Macaca mulatta: one gene and its partner. The protein of the gene in region 2 purifies or fractionates together with the protein of the main gene of each other region. This does not show direct contact. Links are inferred from orthologs where the notes say so. Each region holds a gene or a part of one and is shown on either strand. Other genes may lie near its edges.

Region 1 (3,802 bases), on a different chromosome or scaffold from region 2:
TTCCCAGGCAGGGGGCTGGCTTGTGGATTATTCACATGGGTCTTAAAAGACCTGAATGAGTCCCATCTCTAAGATGTGATTTTTGCACTTTCTATTGCTCAGCAGCCGCTCAGTGATTAAAGTGAGAGTCTAAAAAGCCAAGGGGACTCCGTGGACCCAACACTCCCAGGCTGGACGGCAGGTTCTTGCTTTTCAGCCCCACCTCAGCCCCTGTCTATAGGCAGAAGGGGTTTTTATTAATACATGATTGTAGCCGTGTAGAAGATGAGATTGTGTGTCTTGCTCTGAAAATTCTGCACAAAAGCCTGTTTCCTAGTTGCTACACAGCCCTCAAACTGCCCATTTCTAAAGCTTTCAAGTAGCCCAGGTGATGCAATTGGAAAGCCCAAGGCCCAATTTTTCAGGCTACCACACCTGGTGTGTGGAGGCTGCTGGGAGGTCTGTGGTAACTCCATGAGCCTCAGTCCCTTCCTCCCTGCTCCATGCGCTCAGAGACCCCTGGGTGCTGAGAGGGCAGGGTGCCCTTCACAAGTGGGCAGGGTCCGGGCAGTCCCGTCGGGATGTGGGGTCAGTTGTAGGAGTGCCGGCGCCCCTCAGCTGCTGAGTCATTAGACTCCTGAGGACCACCAGGTGGGAGCTAGGCCCTGCCCGACAGCAGCTGCCCGCCGCCTCGGTGCTAGTCTTGGGCTGCGTCTTCTGTGCTGGATCTCTCCTGGGCCCCTCCTTCCTTCTTACTCAAGTCCAACCCAGATATTTTCAGTTGCCATGATTCTGAGGATCTGGTGCCCCTGGGAAGGTGCAACAGTCCCCAGCACCCCCACCAGCTGGCCCAGGCTCCAAGCTGCCAGCAGTGGCTTTCTTGAGATCCTGTGTCACCCTCCCAGGGAACAAGAGCGCATGGCTGTCTGATAAGCCAGGCCTGTGTGACTCCTCGGGACATGCACCCCCCGGGTCCCTACACAGCTGAGCACGATAGCTCAGGAGTGCAGGGCCGTGATGCATGTGTCTGTCTTCTCTCCTGGGCCACAGCCACCCTACGTCATGCTGCAGCGCCGCAGAGATCATGGCTGTCCTCTTTTTCCACACCATGCGCTACAAGTCCCAGGACCCCCGGAACCCACACAATGACCGCTTTGTGCTCTCCAAGGTAAGAGCCCAGCTGCCCACCGCCAGCCACACCTTGCCTGGGACTAGGGTCACACGGGCTCTGGAATGGTGAGTGGTCTCTGAGGAGGTCTGGCTGGGCCCACCTCTCCCAGGTGCCTTCTCCCTGCTCGTCCTGGCCCCTCCCTCAGTGTCCTGCTCTGCTGACCCAGCTGGCTAAGGAATACAGGACTGAATTGATGGGTTGCTCTGCCATGGAGCCCAGGTACATGAACAACGCTTTAACCCAAAGAAATGGAGTAGGGGACTACGGGAACGTCTGTTGTGTGTTCTGCCCAGTCTGGGTGTTGACAGGCAGGACTGGCATCTTGGTCTGGGTTGTGACTCTCTGCCTGCTCTTTCTGTGTTGTGCCAGCGCTCCCGAGGCCACAGCTTGCCCCCCTCAGGGGTAGTGGTATGCTGTAGCAGGGTTTTGGATGGGGACCCCCCTGACCCGCCCCTACTGGGTGGAATCACAGCCACAGACCCCTGAAATCCACCTGTGCTCAGGCCTGCCTCTGTGGCGTCTGGTCTCTCAGGGCAGGCTTTAGAGCTTAGAAGTCTGTCCAAGTTGTTCCCATGCCAGAAACCAGGGATTAGGGCAGCCGGCTGCCTGCTGGGGTTTTGGCTTTGTCCAGCCTCACAGCTGTGCCCCCTGCACCTGTCTTAGTGCCTGCCCAGCCTTGGCAGTGGGAACTTTGGGCTGAAAACCAAGAGGCTGAAGAGGGCTGAAAGGGGAGAAGTGGCCTTCACTTGCTTCCTCCCCTGAAATGGATGCTGCAGTTGGCCGACTCAGCCAGGCCCCAGGGGTCAGTGTGCAGTAGGCACAGCCCCAAGTAGAACCGCTCCCCACCTGACCTCACCCCATGTCCATCTCCCGGCAGGGCCATGCAGCTCCCATCCTGTACGCGGTCTGGGCTGAAGCTGGCTTCCTGCCCGAGGCGGAGCTGCTCAACCTGAGGAAGATCAGCTCCGACTTGGATGGGCACCCGGTCCCCGTAAGTGCTCCTGCCAGAGCCTCTCATGCCTCTGCCTCCGCTTCCTGTTTCCCAGACATGCGGGACCAGGGCAGGGGGTGCCCACTGAGAAGCCAAAGGTATTGAAAGGCGGAGGAGGGCACTGAGACGAGGAAGGAACGAAGCAGGTGTTTTGGGCGCATGTATTCACCCCAAGCTGGTGCCAAAGGGGAAGGCCTTCTGAGGCCTCAGCCAGGGTGCCCTGGGATGACTTCAGGGAGGGCCTCTCCCCAAGCTTCCTTCTGTGCTGGGCCTCCTTGGCTGGGTAGCTACAGCTTGGGAAGAAAAGGGGCTCTCTTCTAAGGGGGTGGCTCTAGGATGCTGGTGACGCTCTGGGGAGGGAACCCGGTTTGTTCCTTGGGGTGCCAACTGGCATCCCTGCAAATGTTAAGACTTCAGGGATTACCACAAAAACTGTCATGTGGTCTGGGTCCCCACAAGGGCCACATGTTCTATGTCAATTTTTTCATGATTCCCTCTCCCAGCCCTTTGTGAAGTGGGTGATGTGGGAACTGAGGCTCACAGAGGTTCAGCCCCCGGCCTGAGGCCTAAGGCCACGTAGCTGGCTAGTGGGCAGGGCTGGGATTTGAACCTACAACTATAATTAGTTCATTAGCAGAAGAAGTCACATGCTGGGTAGAGGCTGCCCTGGGGCGTGACCTGCAGGGGAGGGGCTCGCTGGGCTGGGTGGGAGTGTGGCTCCAGGGGCGGGTGAGACCAGGATCCCTTCTCCTCTCAGATTAACTGTGGCCTTCTGTTATGACAGAAACAAGCTTTCACCGATGTGGCCACTGGCTCCCTGGGCCAGGGCCTTGGGGCCGCTTGTGGGATGGCCTACACCGGCAAATACTTCGACAAGGCCAGGTAACATGCCTACTCCCCACCCCCACCCTGGGTAGTTTTGGGGAGTGGTCCTTGGGTGACCCACCCTTCACTGCCGCCCCCAGACTCTTCCTCTTTCCTGGCTAGGGCAGAGTAATACATACGCGTGGCCTCTTTTGCTCTTTAAACATCTGCTATGGCTGGTGCCATGACCGGCCCCCTTTACAAATGAGGAAACACTCAGGAGTTAAGGGACGTGCCCTGGGTCAGCAGTGACTGGCAGGGCTGGGTTTGCACAGAGTGCATGCTCCCAATCATGTGCTCTTCAGCCAGAGTGCTTAGGCTGAGGACTTCCTGTTTTGCCCCCAGCCCTGTGCCCAGACCCCAGAAGTCTCAGAAAGACCTACCCCCAGGCGCCTGTCTCACTAGGCACCAGGAGCCCAGGCCTGAGCCGCTTGCCTTTATCTTGGTAAAGGGGAGAGTTGTATGTTCTGGGGGGTTCTGGGATACCTGTAAGCCACCTCCTGTCAGCAGGGAAGAAACAAACATTTGAGAGATTGGGCCTCCAGAGGGTGGGTGGTAAGCCTGACTAGAAAGGTGTGCTGCTCCAGTGCCCACCAGGTGATCGGTAGGAGCAGCCCCCCGTGGCCCCCAAGGAAGGTTCTAGCCATAAGTTAGTCTGTGACGGTCAGATATGGCCTGGGGGGATGAGGTTGTAAACTGTTAAGAATAAGGTCCGGCTGAGGGAAGGATTGCTTGAGGCCAGGAATTCAAGACCAGCCTGGGCAACAGAGCAAGACTGTCTACAAAAAATGCAAAAC
Region 2 (4,420 bases):
CCCTCAGGAGAGGACTGATTCTAGTCTAACCAGAGGTACTACTGTTTTCTGAAATCTTTTCAAGCACTGAAACCTAGATAACCTTTCCACTCTACCAAAAAGAAAGCAAGCAGTATCGCCATTCAGGCAATGGTGACAGGTAATGGTGCTCCGTGGCTACATACAGAAATCAAGGACGTTACGAGTAGATCTCAGGACTAAAATAAACACAGCATCCACACCACACCGTCATACATGTTTGTGTCTCTTGTTTTTAGCTTGGTTTTCAAAGAGGGACAACAGTTAAGGGGCATTAACCCTTAAGACATGACTTTCCACTGGAAAATACCACTGCTCAAACGAAGGATTCTGGCAATTGCGGCCTTTAAAAAATTCTTTTCTTTTTCAGAATAGACACTGTGACTCTTCTACAACCTCTAATTTTGGAAAAACTCAAATGTGAAAGTTGTCCCTCAAATATGCTGTGTTATCAAGAGCACAGGGCCAAAAAGAGGAGGTTCTTTCAAACCTCCATTTAACGGGTAATACATTGGGAACATGTAAGTAGCTGTGCTTAGGTACAACCCTACAGGGACCAGGCTGTGAACTCAAGTGAGTAACACAGGCCTGGAAAGCTCCAGCAGTACTGTCCTGGGCTAATGAAGGCTCAGTATGAAGAGATCTCCAACAATTCTTCAAGAGAAGCTAGGAAAACTGGACTATTAGGTGAAAGATTCTGATTTGTAAAAACTAGCCACGAGTCTAAGATTTTAAACACGGAATAGGCCACGCCAGGTAGTTTATAGCCAATTTATTATCTCTGCATATCTGGAAAGCTGGAATGCTCCACTATCCAAGGCTCTTTCTCAGGTACAAGGGGCACCAACCAAAACGAAGTCAGGCGCTTAAAAGAAGGAACTATGCTCGCTGCTCAGGGAAGGTGGAAAATGACAGAAACCTGGGTTCATGCATGGACTCTCAAAGGCCAGGGAGAAGGAATTCCACAGAGGCGTCTTAAGACTAGTACTGGTGGCCGGGCGCGGTGGCTCACGCCTGTAATCCCACCACTCTGGGAAGCCGAGGCGGGTGGATCACCAGGTCAAGAGATCGTGACCATCCTGGCCAACATGGTGAAACCCGGTCCCTACTAAAATACAAAAAATTAGCTGGGCGTGGTGGCACGCGCCTGTAATCCCAGCTACCCGGGAGCCTGAGGCAGGAGAATTGCTTGAACCCAGGAAGCGGAGGTTGCAGTGAGCCGAGATCGCGCCACTGCACTCCAGCCTGGGCAAGAGAGCAAGACTCGGTCTCAGAAACAAAACACAGCACTAGTACTAGTGAATTATGTGGGAATAAGTAAAGAGGGACAAAACGAAGTCTGACAAATGAAATAGCAAAATGGAGTCAAATGCCAAAGAACCTTTTCCAGAAAATCTGGAGACGTATTAAAGAAAAAAGCTAAACTCGTATCTCCCTCATACACATTTCAGACACTTGCACAGACTAACTGTTCCTGTCCTCTCACCTTTCTGTAAACCCCTTTAAAGACTGAATCTCATTCATATGATAAATATTCTCTCATGACTTTTAAGCCGAGTACCAGACAATTTTCCACCAGTTGGTAACTTCACTAAGGCTCTGGGGACAGTGTTATCACAAGCACCTTCCTTGCAAGACGTTTTGCAATTTTACTGATAATAGTTATGAAAATATTTCTGTACTACATTTTACAAGAGTCGTTCAGAAGTTTGTCTCTGACCATCTTAGCAACCTGCCTACTGGCAGAGCAATTTTAAAGCCACTTCACAGAAAATGTGGCTTAAGAAATGCTCCGACAAGAGTTACTAAGTACCAATTCCGTGTAATGGAAACTTCAGGTCTTCCCAATTTCCAAATCCCAAACCGCACCCACTGTCCTCAAACAACAGTCCTCAATCGTAGGTGCACATCAAAATCACATTTGGAAACTTAAAAAACAGCAATAATCACCTGCGCTGGGACAGGTTTTGATGTAATTGGTCTGAGGTTGGGCTCTGGTGTATTTTTAGTAAGATCTTCAAATAAGCTAATTGTGCACCCAAAGTTAAGAATCATTGCCCTCGAAAGTCCCCAAAACGGTCAGTTAAAACTCTGGCTCTCGGAGCTTAGGAGGAGGAAAAGGACCTCTATCCAAGGCTACCTTCTCTGCCCTTGCAGCCCAACCATGACCTAGAACAGAGGCCAACAAACTCCTGCAAAGTGTCACACAAACGGTCTCTGTTGCGTATTTTTGTTTACCAAAGCCTTTTAAAAATATAAAAACCATACTTAGCCTTAGAGCTGTACAAAAGCGGAGACTCCCTGACCCAGAGCGCTGAAGCCGGAACGCGGAGAGGGATGCTAAGACACCAGCCGGGCCCAGGCGCAGTCGCCACCCCGGGCCGGGCCTGTCACTGCGCCACTCGGTGTCCGCGGGACCCTCAGGAACGAGAACACAGCCAAGCAAGGGAGGAGCACAGCTGCTCCAAGCACCACGACAGAGCCCGCGGCGGCCGCCCACGGACCCCGGAGGGCAGCACGCCCACGCCCGCCCCCGCGGCAATCCCTCCCCGCGCTCCCGCCACGCGCAGGCCCAGCCCCGCGGCGGCCTCGGTCCCACACCCCGCACCCGGGCCCGCCCGATGACTCAGCACTTAGCCGGCACCGCACCGCTGGGGGCAAAGGCACCGACCGGGCGGCACGGGCCGAGGCCGGGCGCGGGACCAGGGCGGTCCCGAGGCCTGGCTGGCCACCCGCTCCTAGCACAGGTGCTCGGGGCGACGAGCGGGCGGGAGCGGCCTCGCAAACAAGCCTCCGCCCCGGCCCTTGCCTTCTGCTCGAAATTGATGGTGCCCTGCACTGGGCTGTCGCCCTTCAACACGCACACGGCCTTCATCGCCATGACTTGCTAGGCCACGCCGCGGTCCTGCTTCCGAATATTGCGAGACTGACCGCAAACGCTGCAGGAGACTACGCCGCAAAGCGGTACCACGGCGCCGCGACTACTTTATAGGCCGGACCTCCGCGCCCCGCCCACTCTGGCCCCAAACCAGTCACAGCGCACGCGCTCAGCCCGCCCCCTGCGGCAGCCTCGGGACGCGAGTGGCAGGAAATGACTGGGGGCGGGGCCAAGGGGCCGCGTGCGCCTCAGACTTCCCCCCGCCCCGCAGCCGGGAAAGGTCCAGAACCCCGAAATGTGGAAAAAAACACAGCCTTTTTTTCACGGGGGCGTGGCCCGACGGTTGCAGGACGCGAAATTGGCAAAATGATGTAAACAAGGTACGCCTTGAAAATCTGAAGTCACTTTGTCTAGAAATGTCATTGGTTATGACTGACTTTCGCCACAGCATCTCATTTGTTACTCAGAAATTAGGACGGCCCAAGATGGATGCTTTTGTAGTTTTCTTTTTTTTTTTTTTGTCTTGTTTTTTAATTTTCTGAGGGCATAGAAAGTCGCTACACCTCAATCCCTGGCCTCACCTTTTCTTCCCCTGCAGTTGTTTTAGTCCTTAGCACATAGTTTCTTATTTGGTTGGCAGAATTCGGTATTCTTTTTATATTTTTCCTGTTTGGCAACGCTACAACCCCACAGATAACCAAAACGGCAACTAGTTGGCTTCTAGGCATCTCCTGCGTTTTTGCCTGGCCCCAAGGCCACAACACTCAAGGAGGGTAGAATGGTGAAATAATTTGTGATGTCTCCATACAACAGGAATGATAAATATGACTTACCTTTCAAGGGAAATATTTCAAAAACTTTGATGAAATGAGAAAATAGTACAAACTACTTTAGTCCGGGGCGAAGGGGTTGTTTATTTGATTTTTGAGACAGGGTATTGCTCTGTCACCCAGGCTGGAGTGCAGTGGCACGATCATAGCTCACTGCAGCCTCGACCTCCTGGGTTCAAAAGTCATCCTGCTGCCTCAGCCTCCCAAGTACCTGAGACCACAGGCATGTGGCACCACACCTGGCTGATTTTTGTATTTTGGGTAGAGATGGGGTTTTACCATGTTGCCCAGGCTGGTTTCAAACTCTTGAGCTCAAGCCAGTCTGCCCACCTCGGCCTCCCAAAGTGCTGGGATTACAGACATAAGCCACCACGTCCAGCCTAGTATTTCGTACTGAGCATGGCAAAATACTCAGACTTAATTCAAGTCCAGCGTGAAACAACGATAGAAGCTATTCCAGCCTCGTTTGGAGTACACTACTATCTATTTATTTACTTATTTATTATTTATGTTATTTAGACCCTCAGACTCTAATGCATCCTCTATCAGAGAAAACACAATTCACATTTTTTTTATCATCCTCTAGGAAGTATACATATTTGCAGTTTTGCGTGTTGTATTTAGTAGTAGTTTCCAGATAATTCGTATATTCTAAACGGTTGCATAAACAGTGCAAATGCTGGCCAAACGGCCT

What was found.
Region 1: the proteins of SOD1 (region 2) and TKT purify together in Homo sapiens (affinity purification with mass spectrometry; 3 studies listed by BioGRID, with this or other methods). This does not show direct contact. The link is inferred for Macaca mulatta from reciprocal best matches to the Homo sapiens genes SOD1 and TKT.

What each region holds. Positions count from the first base shown.
Region 1 is NC_133407.1:116,824,368-116,828,169, reverse strand, and holds part of TKT (transketolase), read left to right. Parts: intron 1-1,029; coding exon 1,030-1,147; exon of another isoform or gene 1,148-1,182; intron 1,183-1,983; exon of another isoform or gene 1,984-2,009; coding exon of another isoform or gene 2,010-2,027; coding exon 2,028-2,141; intron 2,142-2,925; coding exon 2,926-3,023; coding exon of another isoform or gene 3,024-3,054; intron 3,055-3,802. UniProt on the Homo sapiens protein: Catalyzes the transfer of a two-carbon ketol group from a ketose donor to an aldose acceptor, via a covalent intermediate with the cofactor thiamine pyrophosphate.
Region 2 is NC_133408.1:15,681,733-15,686,152, forward strand, and holds the start of SOD1 (superoxide dismutase [Cu-Zn]), read right to left. Parts: upstream 2,900-4,420; coding exon 2,828-2,899; intron 1-2,827. UniProt on the Homo sapiens protein: Destroys radicals which are normally produced within the cells and which are toxic to biological systems.